Linked DNA regions of Stegostoma tigrinum. Each later gene encodes a partner of the first gene's protein in a complex. Links are inferred from orthologs where the notes say so. Each region holds a gene or a part of one and is shown on either strand. Other genes may lie near its edges.

Evidence for each region. The genes of interacting proteins can lie anywhere in the genome.
Region 2: taf3 (region 1) and taf6 share a complex: the UniProt entries of both Homo sapiens proteins name them as parts of the TFIID basal transcription factor complex. The link is inferred for Stegostoma tigrinum from reciprocal best matches to the Homo sapiens genes TAF3 and TAF6.

What each region holds. Positions count from the first base shown.
Region 1 is NC_081378.1:7,658,557-7,665,902, forward strand, and holds the start of taf3 (transcription initiation factor TFIID subunit 3), read left to right. Parts: upstream 1-4,335; 5' UTR 4,336-4,678; coding exon 4,679-4,844; intron 4,845-7,346. UniProt on the Homo sapiens protein: The TFIID basal transcription factor complex plays a major role in the initiation of RNA polymerase II (Pol II)-dependent transcription.
Region 2 is NC_081398.1:4,625,851-4,633,409, forward strand, and holds the start of taf6 (transcription initiation factor TFIID subunit 6), read left to right. Parts: upstream 1-4,551; 5' UTR 4,552-4,967; intron 4,968-5,179; exon of another isoform or gene 5,180-6,348; intron 6,349-6,536; 5' UTR 6,537-6,557; coding exon 6,558-6,713; intron 6,714-7,559. Other genes in the region: cnpy4 (protein canopy 4), read right to left, coding at 1,490-1,586. UniProt on the Homo sapiens protein: The TFIID basal transcription factor complex plays a major role in the initiation of RNA polymerase II (Pol II)-dependent transcription.

The DNA of each region.
Region 1 (7,346 bases):
CCCCGCCCCCGCCCCCGCCCCCCATCTCCCCCCACCCCCGCCCCCCATCTCCCCCCGCCCCCGCCGCCCATCTCCCCCCGCCCCCGCCCCCGCCGCCCATCTCCCCCCGCCCCCGCCGCCCATCTCCCCCCGCCCCCGCCCCCGCCGCCCATCTCCCCCCGCCCCGCCGCCCATCTCCCCCCGCCCCGCCGCCCATCTCCCCCCGCCCCGCCGCCCATCTCCCCCCACCCGCGCCGCCCATCTCCCCCCACCCCCGCCCCCGCCGCCCATCTCCCCCCACCCCCGCCGCCCATCCCCCCCCACCCCCGCCGCCCATCCCCCCCCTCCCCCGCCGCCCATCTCCCCCCACCCCCGCCCCCGCCGCCCATCTCCCCCCACCCCCGCCGCCCATCCCCCCCCACCCCCGCCGCCCATCCCCCCCCTCCCCCGCCGCCACCTCCCCCCACCCCCGCCCCCGCCGCCCATCTCCCCCCACCCCCGCCGCCCATCTCCCCCCACCCCCGCCGCCACCCCCGCCGCCCATCTCCCCCCACCCCCGCCCCCCATCTCCCCCCACCCCCGCCCCCCATCTCCCCCCACCCCCTCCGCCCATCTCCCCCCACCCCCGCCGCCCATCTTCCCCCACCCCCACCCCCGCCGCCACCCGCCACCCATCTCCCCCCACCCCCACCCCGGCGGCCCATCTCCCCCCACCCCCACCCCGGCGGCCCATCTCCCCCCACCCCCACCCCCACCCCGGCGGCCCATCTCCCCCCACCCCCACCCCCACCCCGGCGGCCCATCTCCCCCCACCCCCACCCCCACCCCGGCGGCCCATCTCCCCCCACCCCCACCCCGGCGGCCCATCTCCCCCCACCCCGGCGGCCCATCTCCCCCCACCCCCACCCCGGCCGCCCATCTCCCCCTCTTCCCGCCCCCCCCCCGGCCGCCCATCTCCCCCTCTTCCCGCCCCCCCCCGGCCGCCCATCTCCCCCCCCCCCCCCGGCCGCCCATCTCCCCCCCCGCCCCCCCCCGGCCGCCCATCTCCCCCCCCCCCCCGGCCGCCCATCTCCCCCTCTTCCCGCCCGCCCATCTCCCCCTCTTCCCGCCCCCCCCCCCCGGCCGCCCATCTCCCCCTCTTCCCGCCCCCCCCCCCCCCCGGCCGCCCATCTCCCCCTCTTCCCGCCCCCCCCCCCCGGCCGCCCATCTCCCCGCCCCCCCATCTCCCCGCCCCCCCCCCCGGCCGCCCATCTCCCCCTCTTCCCGCCCCCCCCCCCCCGGCCGCCCATCTCCCCCTCTTCCCGCCCCCCCCCCCGGCCGCCCATCTCCCCGCCCCCCCCCCCCGGCCGCCCATCTCCCCCTCTTCCCGCCCCCCCCCCCCGGCCGCCCATCTCCCCCTCTTCCCGCCCCCCCCCCCGGCCGCCCATCTCCCCGCCCCCGCCCCCCATCTCCCCCCACCCCCGCCCCCCATCTCCCCCCACCCCCGCCCCCCATCTCCCCCCTCCCCCGCCCCCACCCCCCATCACCCCCCACCCCCGCCCCCGCCCCCGCCCCCCATCACCCCCCACCCCCGCCGCCCATCTCCCCCCACCCCCGCCCCCGCCGCCCATCTCCCCCCGCCCCCGCCGCCCATCTCCCCCCGCCGCCCCCCGCCCATCTCCCACCGCCCCCCCCGCCCATCTCCCACCGCCCCCCCCGCCCATCTCCCCCCACCCCCCCCGCCGCCCATCTCCCCCCGCCCCCCCCGCCGCCCATCTCCCCCCGCCGCCGCCCATCTCCCCCCGCCCCCGTCCCCCATCTCCCCCCGCCCCCGCCCATCTCCCCCCGCCCCCGTCCCCCATCTCCCCCCGCCCCCGCCCCCCATCTCCCCCCGCCCCCGCCCCCGCCCCCCATCTCCCCCCACCCCCGCCCCCCATCTCCCCCCGCCCCCGCCGCCCATCTCCCCCCGCCCCCGCCGCCCATCTCCCCCCGCCCCGCCGCCCATCTCCCCCCGCCCCGCCGCCCATCTCCCCCCGCCCCGCCGCCCATCTCCCCCCACCCGCGCCGCCCATCTCCCCCCACCCCCGCCCCCGCCGCCCATCTCCCCCCACCCCCGCCGCCCATCCCCCCCCACCCCCGCCGCCCATCCCCCCCCTCCCCCGCCGCCCATCTCCCCCCACCCCCGCCCCCGCCGCCCATCTCCCCCCACCCCCGCCGCCCATCCCCCCCCACCCCCGCCGCCCATCCCCCCCCCTCCCCGCCGCCACCTCCCCCCACCCCCGCCCCCGCCGCCCATCTCCCCCCGCCCCGCCGCCCATCTCCCCCCGCCCCGCCGCCCATCTCCCCCCGCCCCGCCGCCCATCTCCCCCCACCCGCGCCGCCCATCTCCCCCCACCCCCGCCCCCGCCGCCCATCTCCCCCCACCCCCGCCGCCCATCCCCCCCCACCCCCGCCGCCCATCCCCCCCCTCCCCCGCCGCCCATCTCCCCCCACCCCCGCCCCCGCCGCCCATCTCCCCCACCCCCGCCGCCCATCCCCCCCCACCCCCGCCGCCCATCCCCCCCCTCCCCCGCCGCCACCTCCCCCCACCCCCGCCCCCGCCGCCCATCTCCCCCCACCCCCGCCGCCCATCTCCCCCCACCCCCGCCGCCACCCCCGCCGCCCATCTCCCCCCACCCCCGCCCCCCATCTCCCCCCACCCCCGCCCCCCATCTCCCCCCACCCCCTCCGCCCATCTCCCCCCACCCCCGCCGCCCATCTTCCCCCACCCCCACCCCCGCCGCCACCCGCCACCCATCTCCCCCCACCCCCACCCCGGCGGCCCATCTCCCCCCACCCCCACCCCGGCGGCCCATCTCCCCCCACCCCCACCCCCACCCCGGCGGCCCATCTCCCCCCACCCCCACCCCCACCCCGGCGGCCCATCTCCCCCCACCCCCACCCCGGCGGCCCATCTCCCCCCACCCCGGCGGCCCATCTCCCCCCACCCCCACCCCGGCCGCCCATCTCCCCCTCTTCCCGCCCCCCCCCGGCCGCCCATCTCCCCCTCTTCCCGCCCCCCCCCGGCCGCCCATCTCCCCGCCCCCCCCGGCCGCCCATCTCCCCCCCGCCCCCCCCCGGCCGCCCATCTCCCCCCCCCCCCCGGCCGCCCATCTCCCCCTCTTCCCGCCCGCCCATCTCCCCCTCTTCCCGCCCCCCCCCCCCGGCCGCCCATCTCCCCCTCTTCCCGCCCCCCCCCCCCCCCCGGCCGCCCATCTCCCCCTCTTCCCGCCCCCCCCCCCCGGCCGCCCATCTCCCCGCCCCCCCATCTCCCCGCCCCCCCCCCGGCCGCCCATCTCCCCCTCTTCCCGCCCCCCCCCCCGGCCGCCCATCTCCCCCTCTTCCCGCCCCCCCCCCCCGGCCGCCCATCTCCCCGCCCCCCCCCCCCCGGCCGCCCATCTCCCCGCCCCCCCCCCCCGGCCGCCCATCTCCCCCTCTCCCCGCCCCCCCCCCCCGGCCGCCCATCTCCCCCTCTTCCCGCCCCCCCCCCCCCCCGCCCCCCCATCTCCCCCTCTTCCCGCCCCCCCCCCCCCGCCCCCCCGCCCCCCCCCCGGCCGCCCATCTCCCCCTCTTCCCGCCCCCCGCCCCCTCTTCCCGCCCCCCCCCGCCCGCCCGCCCATCTCCCCCTCTTCCCGCCCCCCCCCCCGCCCGCCCGCCCATCTCCCCCTCTTCCCGCCCCCCGCCCCCCCCGCCCCCCCCCCCCGGCCGCCCATCTCCCCCTCTTCCCGCCCCCCGCCCCCCCCCGGCCGCCCATCTCCCCCTCTTCCCGCCCCCCCCCCCCGCCCCCCCCCGCCCGCCCATCTCCCCCTCTTCCCGCCCCCCCCCCCCCCCCGGCCGCCCATCTCCCCCTCTTCCCGCCCCCCCCCCCCCCGCCCCCCCATCTCCCCCTCTTCCCGCCCCGCCCCCGCCCGCCCGCCCGCCCGCCCGCCCGCCCGCCCCCCCCCCCCTCTCCCCCTCTTCCCGCCCCCCCCCCCCCTCTCCCCCTCTTCCCGCCCCCCCCCCCCCTCTCCCCCTCTTCCCGCCCCCCCCGCCGCCCATCTCCCCCTCTTCCCGCCCCCCCCCCCCCGGCCGCCCATCTCCCCCCCCCCCCCCCCCCCCCGGCCGCCCATCTCCCCCCCCCCCCCCCCCCCCGGCCGCCCATCTCCCCCCCCCCCCCCCCCCCCCCCCGGCCGCCCATCTCCCCCCCCCCCCCCCCCCCCCCCGGCCGCCCATCTCCCCCCCCCCCCCCCCCCCCGGCCGCCCATCTCCCCCTCTTCCCCGCAAACCGCTTCCTTTCCCCGCCCCTGCGCGGTGATGGCAATTTATTCTAAATCGCCGTCGCCCGGGCAACCACAGTGACAGGCCTGACGAGCCGATGCGGCTGCCTCGATCGTTCGAGCTGCCGGCGTTCGATGGGTCGTGTCCGAGAGTCCAAGGAGCCGGCGGGCGTCGGGGGCACAACATGGCGGCTCGGGAGTGAGGGGCCGAGCGGCGGCGGCGGCGGCTCCGGGAGCAGTGCTGTCAGTTGGCTGGGCCGGGGAGTGATGGTGGTGATATGAAGGAGGGAGGGAGGGAGAGAGAGAGAGAGACGGAGTCCCAGAATAAGGCCATGCCGACCCGCCGCGCTTGAAGGACAGAGTTGGTGGGGGGGGGGGCCGGTTGGGTATTAGCTGTTTTATTTTAACAGTATTTTGAGGCCGGGATGTGCGACGCTTACGGCAGGGCCTTGCTGCGGGTGGCGGTGGCTCAGATCTGCCAGGCTCTGGGATGGGACTCGGTGCAGGTCACGGCCTGCGACATCCTCACCGACGTGCTCAACAGGTACATCGAGCAGCTGACCCGGGGCTGCCATCGTTACAGCGAGCTGTGTGAGTACCTGAGACCCTGTGATCTCCATCCATCGGGCACAGACACAACCTCACTCATTACAGCACACACAGTCTTCACCCAAACAGCCTGTCTCTGAACAGCCAGCCCGCGTTCTACACTTGTAGGCCTCTAGCTCCCTGGACTTCAGAAGATGGAGAGGCGGTCCAGGCGAAAACATATTGTTCCCAAAGGGGTACCTTGACAGGTTGGGTGCTGAGATGACTTTTCCCCACGCCCTCTGGTTGTTCGCCCTCCCCCTTCAGATTCCCTGCAGCCCCAAATATCGGCTGTGTCTTAGGGTCTGGAGGAGGGTTCACCGGGAAAGGTTTGAGAATCTTTGGAATTCTCTTCCCCCTCCCACACAGCCAGGGATGCTCTGTCAATTGAAGGCTGACATTAATGGATCTTTCGAGTATTACGGGATATTGGGATAGTGTGGGAGGACACAGGCCAGAAAGGAAATCAGCCCAGATCATCCTGAATAATGGAGTTGGCTCGAAGGGCCAAGTGGCCTGTTTCAGTCTCTCTTTCTAACATTTTCACCAAGCCTGGATGTTCCTGTTTGTAGCGCTTGTTGTTTACAATTGACAAGCTTCATGGATTTTGAGATTTCAGCTGATACCTCCAATCTGACTGAGCACGTTATTATCAGGAAAAGCTCGGCAGCTCTGGCAGCATCTGTGGAGGAGAAAACAGAGTTAACATTTCGGGTCCAGTGACCCTTAGAACCGTTCTGAGGAAGAGTCACTGGACCCACAACGTTAACTTTTTTTTTCCTACAGATGTTGCCAGACCTGCTGAGCTTTTCCAGCAGCTTTGTTTTTGTTTCTGATTTAGAGCATCTGCAGTTTTTTAAAAAATATGTTATTTTTTAGTGTTAGCAGCTGAACATCCCTGTAAAGTAAACATTGATTAATACTAACTTAATTTTTTTGTCTTCGGCATTGCCATTTAAGTGAAGTGGAGTTTAAATGATGGAGTACAAAATAAGCAGTAAGCTTCCACTGTTTTGAGCACTTAGTACCTGCCAAAAGCTTCCTTTATTTCCTTGACCAATAGTGTACATTGCTTGATATCCAAGATGGCCTTGAATTGTTTGTACTTTTACTTTCATTATTTCACTTTTGAATGACTCCTACTGTTGAAATGTAGACTAGCCTAGAAGTAGTTGCTGCCAGTCCTATTTGGTCAGAAGGGTTCTGAAGAAGGGTCACCAGACCTAAAATTTTAACGCTTTTCTCCTCCACAGATGCCACCAGACCTGCTGAGCTTTTCCAGCAACTTTGTTTTTTGTTCCTATTTGGTCAGATCCTGTCTTATGTTAAAGTCAGCCTTCCCTCAGTTCATAACTTTTACTTCTGGGCCATCTTTATCATTTTTCACAACAACCTTAAATTTCACTGAGGTATGGTCACTATCACCAAAGTGCTCTGCTACTCACACGTGCTTGGATATTCTCCCTAAAATTAAGTTGAGAACTGCCCGCTTTTAAAAAATATCCTGGTACATTTTAAGAATTCTGTTCCCTCTAAGCCTTTCACACTTTGTCTATCGCAGGTAATATAGGAAAGCTTGAAATTGCCTTTTACTGTGCCCTATTATTTTACACTTCTTGAGATTTAGCCGATATATGTATTCTTTTGGTAGTCCTTTACTGTTTGAGGGTGTATAGTACACTCCCAGAAATGTGATTTCCCTTCTTTAAGTTCTGCCCATGTGGTCTTATTTGAGGAACCTTCTAAGATATCATCCCTCCTTATTACAGTAATGACAAGTAATTGACTCCTTGATTAGTGTTATGACTACTCTTATGCTCTCAACTAGCCTGACGATTCTATACTCCAGAATATTGAGCTGTCTGTCCTGCCCCCCTCACAACCATACCTCAGTGTTAAGAACGAGAGCATATTTCTATATATTAATCAATCATCCTCACCTCACCTGCCTTATTTGCAAAATTCATTGCATTAAAATAAATGCCATCCAGCCTTGTGCTCCTTTGTGCCTTAACTTTACTATATATGTGTGTGTGTCTTACAGACTGGATTTTTCCTTTGTATTTGACTGTATATCACCCACTGGGCAATTTACAATCCCCAGCCACTCATTCACCTACCCACCACACCACACAGATATCGGTCCAGTTTCTGGGTCCGGTGGAAGCCATTGGACTAGTACAGGTCCCACCTTCCCTGGAAATAGACCCACTCATCGCGGAATCTAAAGATTCTAGACTTGCACCAATTCTTTTAGCCACCCATTTAACGGTGAGATCTGCCTATTCCTATGCTCACTAACACGTGGAACCAGATGTAATCCAGCGGTTGCAACCATTAAGGACCTGTTTGTCAATCTATAACGTAGCTACCTAGATTGTTGTTGTAGAACTTCATCCCTCTTTTTACCTGTCGTTCGTATCTATATAAACTTCAACTTCTGACTGTCACCTTCTCCCTTCAGATTCCATCCAGCCATTCAGTGACCTCCTTGATCCTGGCCCC
Region 2 (7,559 bases), on another chromosome or scaffold:
CTCCGTGACTCCCTTGTTCGTTCCACACTGCCCTCCAACCCCACCACACCCGGCACCTTCCCCTGCAACCGCAGGAAATGCTACACTTGTCCCCACACCTCCTCCCTCACCCCTATCCCAGGCCCCATGGTGACTTTCCATATTAAGCAGAGGTTCACCTGCACATCTGCCAATGTGGTATACTGTATCCATTTTATCCGGTGTGGCTTTCTCTACATTGGGGAAACCAAGCGGAGGCTTGGGGACCGCTTTGCAGAACACCTCCGCTCGGTTCGCAATAAAAACTGCACCTCCCAGTCGTGAACCATTTCCACTCCCCCTCCCATTCTTTAGATGACATGTCCATCCTGGGCCTCCTGCAGTGCCACAATGATGCCACCCGAAGGTTGCAGGAACAGCAACTCATATTCCGCTTGGGAACCCTGCAGCCCAATGGTATCAATGTGGACTTCACCAGCTTCAAAATCTCCCCTTCCCCCACCACATCCCAAAACCAGCCCAGTCCGTCCCCTCCCCCCACTGCATCCCAAAACCAGCCCAGTTCTTCCCCTCCACCCACTGCACCACACAACAGGCCCAGCTCTTCCCCTACCCCCACTGCATCCCAAAACCAGTCCAACCTGTCTCTGCCTCCCTAACCTGTTCTCCCTCTCACCCATCCCTTCCTCCCACCCCAAACCGCACCTCCATTTCCCACCTACCTCCACATCCCACCTCCTTGACCTGTCCGTCTTCCCTGGACTGACCTATCCCCTCCCTACCTATACTCTCCTCTCCACCTATCTTATTTTCTCTCCATCTTCGGTCCGCCTCCCCCTCTCTCCCTATTTATTCCAGAACCCTCACCCCATCCCCCTCTCTGATGAAGGGTCTAGGCCCGAAACGTCAGCTTTTGTGCTCCTGAGATGCTGCTGGGCCTGCTGTGTTCATCCAGCCTCACATTTTATTATCTTCTATTAATTAATCTACTCCCATGTGGCAGCATTTGGCCCATATCGCTCTCAGCCTTTCCTAAGCACGTACCCTCCAGATGCCTTTTAAATGTTGTAATTTTACACACCGTCAATTCCCAACAGAGAATAAACAAGAGAAGGCCAGGACATTCAGCCCATCATGGCTGTGCCAGCCCACTGCAACTGCAGATCAACTAGTGCCACCCTCTACGTCGTAGTTTCTTTCTCCCACAGAAGAGGGGCATAATTTTACTTTGGAAAGCCGGGAATAAGGTGGCATACCCATCCCATACAAGGCTGGGAGACGTTAAAGGGAGACACCAGCTGCTCATTGGACTCCAGTCTCTCCCCGCCGTGGGCCGCCGCCATCTTGGATACCTGGTTGCCATGGGCGACCAGGTAGGTCCTTATTAACCCCCACCTCCCGCCGTGGTTCCTCCCCCCCCCCCAAAACACATGGGGGCTGTCCTCCGTGGCGCCCGGAGGAGCCGATGCGCGGGGCCTGAGATGTCCGTCCACTTTTCCCTCCGCTTTACCTTCGCACTTCGTGGGCAGCCTATCCCCTTCTTCCTCCTCCGCTGCCGCGCTATCAGCGAGCAGCGGAATAAAGAGCAAGAACGACAGCCGCAACATCACCTTCCCCGTGCCGGCGCGAGTTGGCAGGCGGCAGCCAATCACACGAGCCCGCCCCCCCACGTGACGCCCGCACCGGCCAATCAAACAGACGCATGTGCGGACGTTGCCACGACGCCAGCCTATCGCAGAGAAACTCCCACCACCCACGTGGGATTTCGCCCAGTAGCCTTTCGTTTCGGCCTCGATTCCCCCCCCTCCAAACTTTCAGCCAATCATAGTGTTCACGGCCCACGTGGTGACCCGGCCCATTCGGCCAGTCGCGCTGATGCCCCGGTGCACGTGACAACGGTACCAACCAGTCAGGCGCGACCTCCTTCCGCATGCCGAGCCCCTTCATGATATCCCCGCCCTAAGTGTTGTCAGACCCCACGTGGGACGCCACCACTTCGGCAATTCAGAGGGGTAAACATAAACGGGGCCTTCGAGGCCACAGCCAATCACGCCGCCTTCCACGCCCCGAACACGGCCACGTGTCGGGATAAGCACCGCCCAGTCGCCCCACCCAAGCTCCCATTGGCTGCTGCTCCAATTTAAACCTCCCGCCTCGTGACGGTGGTAGCAGTATCGCTATGTCCAGACCCTGAAGTGGCGTTTGTTGGCCACTGCAGAGAAGGGTGAAGCTATCTCTGAGCAGATCGATAAGGCGCTATAGAAAACTGGCTCCATCCAGCGTTCATCATTCTTTGTGGCCTTGGTAAAGAAACAAGAGCCTGCACTGACATTCATAATGATCACAGCTGACTGTCCCAATCCTTATGCCAACATTTGCCATGATCCTATTAACTTGGTGCTGTCTGTTAGCTTAGTTGGGTGAATGGCTGGTATCTAGCACAGAATATTGGGCTAAATTCAATTATTTCTTGTAATGGCCAATGAGGTTCAGCCGGGACCCCCTTAGCTAGGTTTCTAGCTGCTTCCCCAGCCTGGAGACTGCCCTGGGCACCCCTCTGCACCCTTCTTTGAGACAGGCAGCATGGTGGCTCAGTGGTTAGCGCTGCTGTATCACAGCCGTAGAGACCCTGGTTTGATTTCACACTCTGATAATGTCATGTATGAGGAGTTTCCTCCTATGTCCAAAAATTAGCAGACTAGGGTGGGTTGGCCATAAGACATAGGAGTGGAAGTAAGGCCATTCGGCCCATCACGTCCACTCTGCCATTTAAATCAAGGCTGATGGGCATTTCAACACCACTTCCCTGCACTCTCCACATAGCCCTTGATTCCTTTTGAGATCAAGAATTTGTCGATCTCTGCCTTGAAGGCATCCAACGTCCCGGCCTCCACTGCACTCTGCGGCAATGAATTCCACAAGCAAATGCCATGCTAAATTGCCCTGTAATGTCCAGGGAAGTGCAGGCTATCCTCGGTGGATTAGCCATGGGAAATGCAGGGTTACATGGATAGGGCAGCAGGATGGGTCTGGATAGCGGTACTTGCAGACGGTCGATGTGGACTCAACAGGCACGAATAGTGTGTGATAACACGATGTGAAGCCAGATGAACGCAGCTGGCCAAGCGGCATCAGAGGAGCAGGAAAGTTTGATGTTTTGGGTCAAGACCCTTCTTTGGAAAGCTTTCCTGCTCCTCTGATGCTGCTTGGCCTGCCGTGTTCATCCAGCTACTATCTCTGTAATGAATAGTGCGTTTCCATGCTGTCAGGATTTTACAACATCCCATGTGGGCTAATGGCTAATTTGAGGAGTGTGACGGATTTTTAATAAGTAACGGGTGAGCAGGGCAGGAAAGTGGAGTTGAGATCATCCATGATTGTGGCCTGAGTTCCACTTTCCTATTGTGACCTCATAATCTCCGCGCTTGGAGTATTGCGTACAGTTCTGGTCACCGCATTATAAGAAGGATGTGGAAGCTTTGGAAAGGGTGCAGAGGAGATTTACTAGGATGTTGCCTGGTATGGAGGGAATGTCTTACAAGGAAAGGCTGAAGGACTTGAGGCTGTTTTCATTAGAGAGAAGAAGGTTGAGAGGTGACTTAATTGAAACATATAAAATAATCAGAGGGTTAGATAGGGTGGATAGGGAGAGCCTTTTTCCTAGGATGGTGACGGCGAGCACAAGGGGGCATAGCTTTAAATTGAGGGGTGAAAGATATAGGATCGATGTTAGAGGTAGTTTCTTTACTCAGAGTAGTAAGGGAATGGAACGCTTTGCCTGCAACGGTAGTAGATTCGCCAACTTTAGGTACATTGAAGTCATCATTGGATAAGCATATGGACGTACGTGGAGTATTGTAGGTTAGATGGGCTTGAGATCGGTATGACAGGTCGGCACAACATCGAGGGCCGAAGGGCCTGTACTGTGCTGTTATGTTCTATATGTATATATATGATTGTTGTGAGTGTCAGAACATGCATGGAAGGGCTGAATGGCCTCATCAGCATTCCAACTGCGAGAGTAAACGAATTATGGGACCATACAGGATTGGAATATTTCACCATGGGAGGGGAGCGGTTAGGATGGAGTTCTGAGGAAGGGTTGCTGGACCTGAAACGTTAACTCTCCTATTTGTTTCTTCCACAGATGCTGCCAGACCAGCTGAGCTTTTCTAGCAACTTTGTTTTTGTTCCTGATTTACAGCATCCGCGGTTTTTTTCATAGTTAGTATTTAATGCATGTTTCAGTATGAGGAGTGCAAATGAAGTCAGCGTGCCAGGAGCCTCCACTTGCAGATACGAGTAGCCAAGGTGCACTATATTAAATCTAAACGTTGAAAAATTGTAACACCACCAAAGTCTCGCTCTCCGCATCCGGAGCGGGAGTGAGGAGAAGCCGCGCGCGTCGATGGTATAAGAAGCATCACGTGTGCGGGGGTGGCGGAGAATCGGCCAATCGGCAAAGGGATCGCGGGCGAGGGGGTATGCGACGTCAGGGGCGCGCCTGAGCCAATCGGCGACGTAGCAGCGGGAAGAGCGGGTGGGCGGCCAGTCACGTGGCACCTCAGCCAATGGGAGGGCAGGTCGGCACCGGCGGTGTCACGTGGTCGCTGGACCAGGCCTGGTCCTGAGGATCCCGGGACGGAGAGGGAGAGAGAGCCGGAGGCTGGCCTCAGCCGCACGGGGGGAGCGGGAGATACAGAGCGAGAGTTAGATCGGCCCGGACCCCGGGGGGGAGGGAGAGAGAGAGAGAGAGAGAGAGGGAGAGAGAGCGAGCGCGCCCGCGGGGCGCCGCCTGGAGCCGGGACTCGGGAGGACACGACCAAGATGGCGCCTGGTGGCGGGGTCAGAGCCTGAGAGACACGGAGGGAGAAGGGGAGGGGGACGGAGGGACCCAAACAAGTGTGTGTTAGGGTAGAGAGGGAGGGGGGGCCTGCTGCTCCCCCCCTCAGCCCCAGCCCCAGCCCCAGCAGCAGCAGATCCACTGGGTGAGTGAGAGGGAGGGACGGGGAGCTTATGACCCAGACCATCAGCAACAACATCCTACTCACTCAAGCTCCCCCCTCCTCGCCCTAACCCCACCAATGATATCCCTCCCTCCCTCAAGGTCGTTTTCCTTCCCCCCCCACCCCCCCCCCCCCCGCTGGGATCCCCAATCCCCCCTTCACACTGCATCGAGATCCCCTTCTCTCCACCGTGGAGATCCGTCTCCCTTTCCATCCAACTGTCCCTCCTCCCGTGCCACGTTCCGTCCTCCAACAGTATTATAATAATTAAAAAGACACACGTATACACACACACACGTATATACATACACGCACATGTATATACATACACATATATACACACATATATATACGCACACGCATGTATATGCACGCACATGTATATACGCATGTATATACAGACACGTATACACATACATACACACATATATATACACACACGCATATATATATACACACACGCATATATATATATATATACATATATACACACACGCATATATACACACACACACACACAAAATGCTGCAGACTCTGGAAATCGACAAACAAACAAATTGCTGGAGAAGCTCAGCAGGGCCTGGCAGTGACTGTGGAGAAAGCAATGGAGTTAACGTCTATTCTCTTTCTCCGAACCCCCAACTCTTTTCTCCCCCCCCGCCGCCCCGAAACTTCCAAGCTAATCATCCCATGGGGAGAGGGGATCTGGGCAAAGTGATACGGAGGTAACCGTGAATAATCCCTACCTATCTGCATTCCTGGAGGGGTCCACGTATTGTCTAATCTTTGACAGCGGTCTTATGGTGAAACTTTGAATCATTACTCCTTGGAGTGTAGATGAGTTTATTGCAGCAGAGGGTGGTGGATGCTGAAATTATATCCCCCCCCCCCCTTTTTGTGTAGGAGAATTGAGAGCTCGTTTAAAGATTTGGGGGTTTCCATCGACGGTGCGGGTGAAAGGTGTTTCTTCTGAGCACCATTTTTAGGCCACAAAACCCGTCTGGTTCACTGTTGTTCAGGGGAGAAAATCTGGCGTCCCTAGCCGGTCTGGCCTACATGTGACTCCAGGCCCACGGCGAAGTGGCTGACTCCTAACTGAAATTGTCTAGCAAGACGTTTGATTGAACTGCCAATAGAGGTGGCACCATAAATCCTGGCTTTGCCAGCAGCGCCCATATAACCAAATAATTCTTTATTCATTTTGTCCTGCCCCCTGGACTGTACAAAAGCGAGGGATGCCGGTTCAAAGTGGGTGCCGGAAACGAGAGCCTGCAGGGCTTCTCAATTGGCGGGTCGAGACAGGAGGAGAGCTGATCATCATTCATCTTCCTCCCCCAGAAGTGTTTAAACATACTCCACACAGGTTAGCTGATCGTTTTGGGTGGAACTAGTGCAAAAATGTCAGAGCTATAGTATCAGCTGCCACTCTTTGGGTTATAGGAACGCTACGAGGGCATGAGAAAGGTCTCCTGCTGCACGGTTTGGATCTGTTGGTTTGCCCCGAAGTGCATCTGGATTAATTTTTTCCTTCCATTCGGTTGTTTTCCGTAGGGTGTATGATGGGAGGTAAGCATGGCCGATGAGAAAAAAGTGAAGATCAGCAATACGCTGCTTCCCACCGAGTCAATGAAGGTGATCGCTGAGTCCATAGGGATTTCCCAGCTCTCCGAGGAAACGTGCCAAAGCTTGACTGAGGAGGTCAGCTATAGGATCAAAGAGCTGGCACAGGTAAACCTCCCCGACTGTTCCTTGTGTGTGTGCGCACGTGTTTTCGCCTTGTTTACAGTCAGCTGTAGAATTGTACAACACGGAGGAGACCCTTTGTGTCTGTACTACCAAAAGCACCCTGTGACCTATACTGGCCCCGCTTTCCCACGCTAGGCCCATAGTCTTGGATGTTGTCAAGTGCTCTTCCAAGTACAGCAAGCTGTATTTTTAACCAGCATCTTGTGACTAGGTACTAAATAAACCAGCAAAACTTGTGTACTTCAAATATTATAAAGTTTATTGTCTAATTATTAGTTTTTAATAGTTATTTACCTTAATGTAAACATACATGTCCAATCGAATGGCCACATGAAATATCAACAGTTAATTCAATTTTGAGTCAGTTTGTCCTCAAATACTGTGATGTCTGCAAAGTCAGTTGGGTGCATGAGTGAGAAGGCGAGGTCATGTGATTAGTTAAGTTAATTTAAGCTATAAATGAAGTATAACGGTGATGTGTACACTCCCGGCGTTACGTTTCTGTTATTTAGTGTCTGTTTTTACATTGATGTGAACCTCTTGATTACCCGCAATAATTGATCAATCAGGATACTCCTGGTGCCATAGGTATCGGATTATAGAAAGTCTGCTGTACCTTTTGAAATATTGTGAGGTTTTGCAGCTCCAGGCAGTGCATTCCAGACCCCCACCACCCTCTGGGTGAAAAAGGTTATCCTCAAATCCCCTCTTAAGCCTTGTGCTTTTCACTTTAAGTCTTGCCTCTGCCTTGTGTGGGTAAATAATGTGCCATACAACGTCTGTCTTTCTGTGCAGGCTGATGTGTCTCCATGATATTTCTGTGTGGTC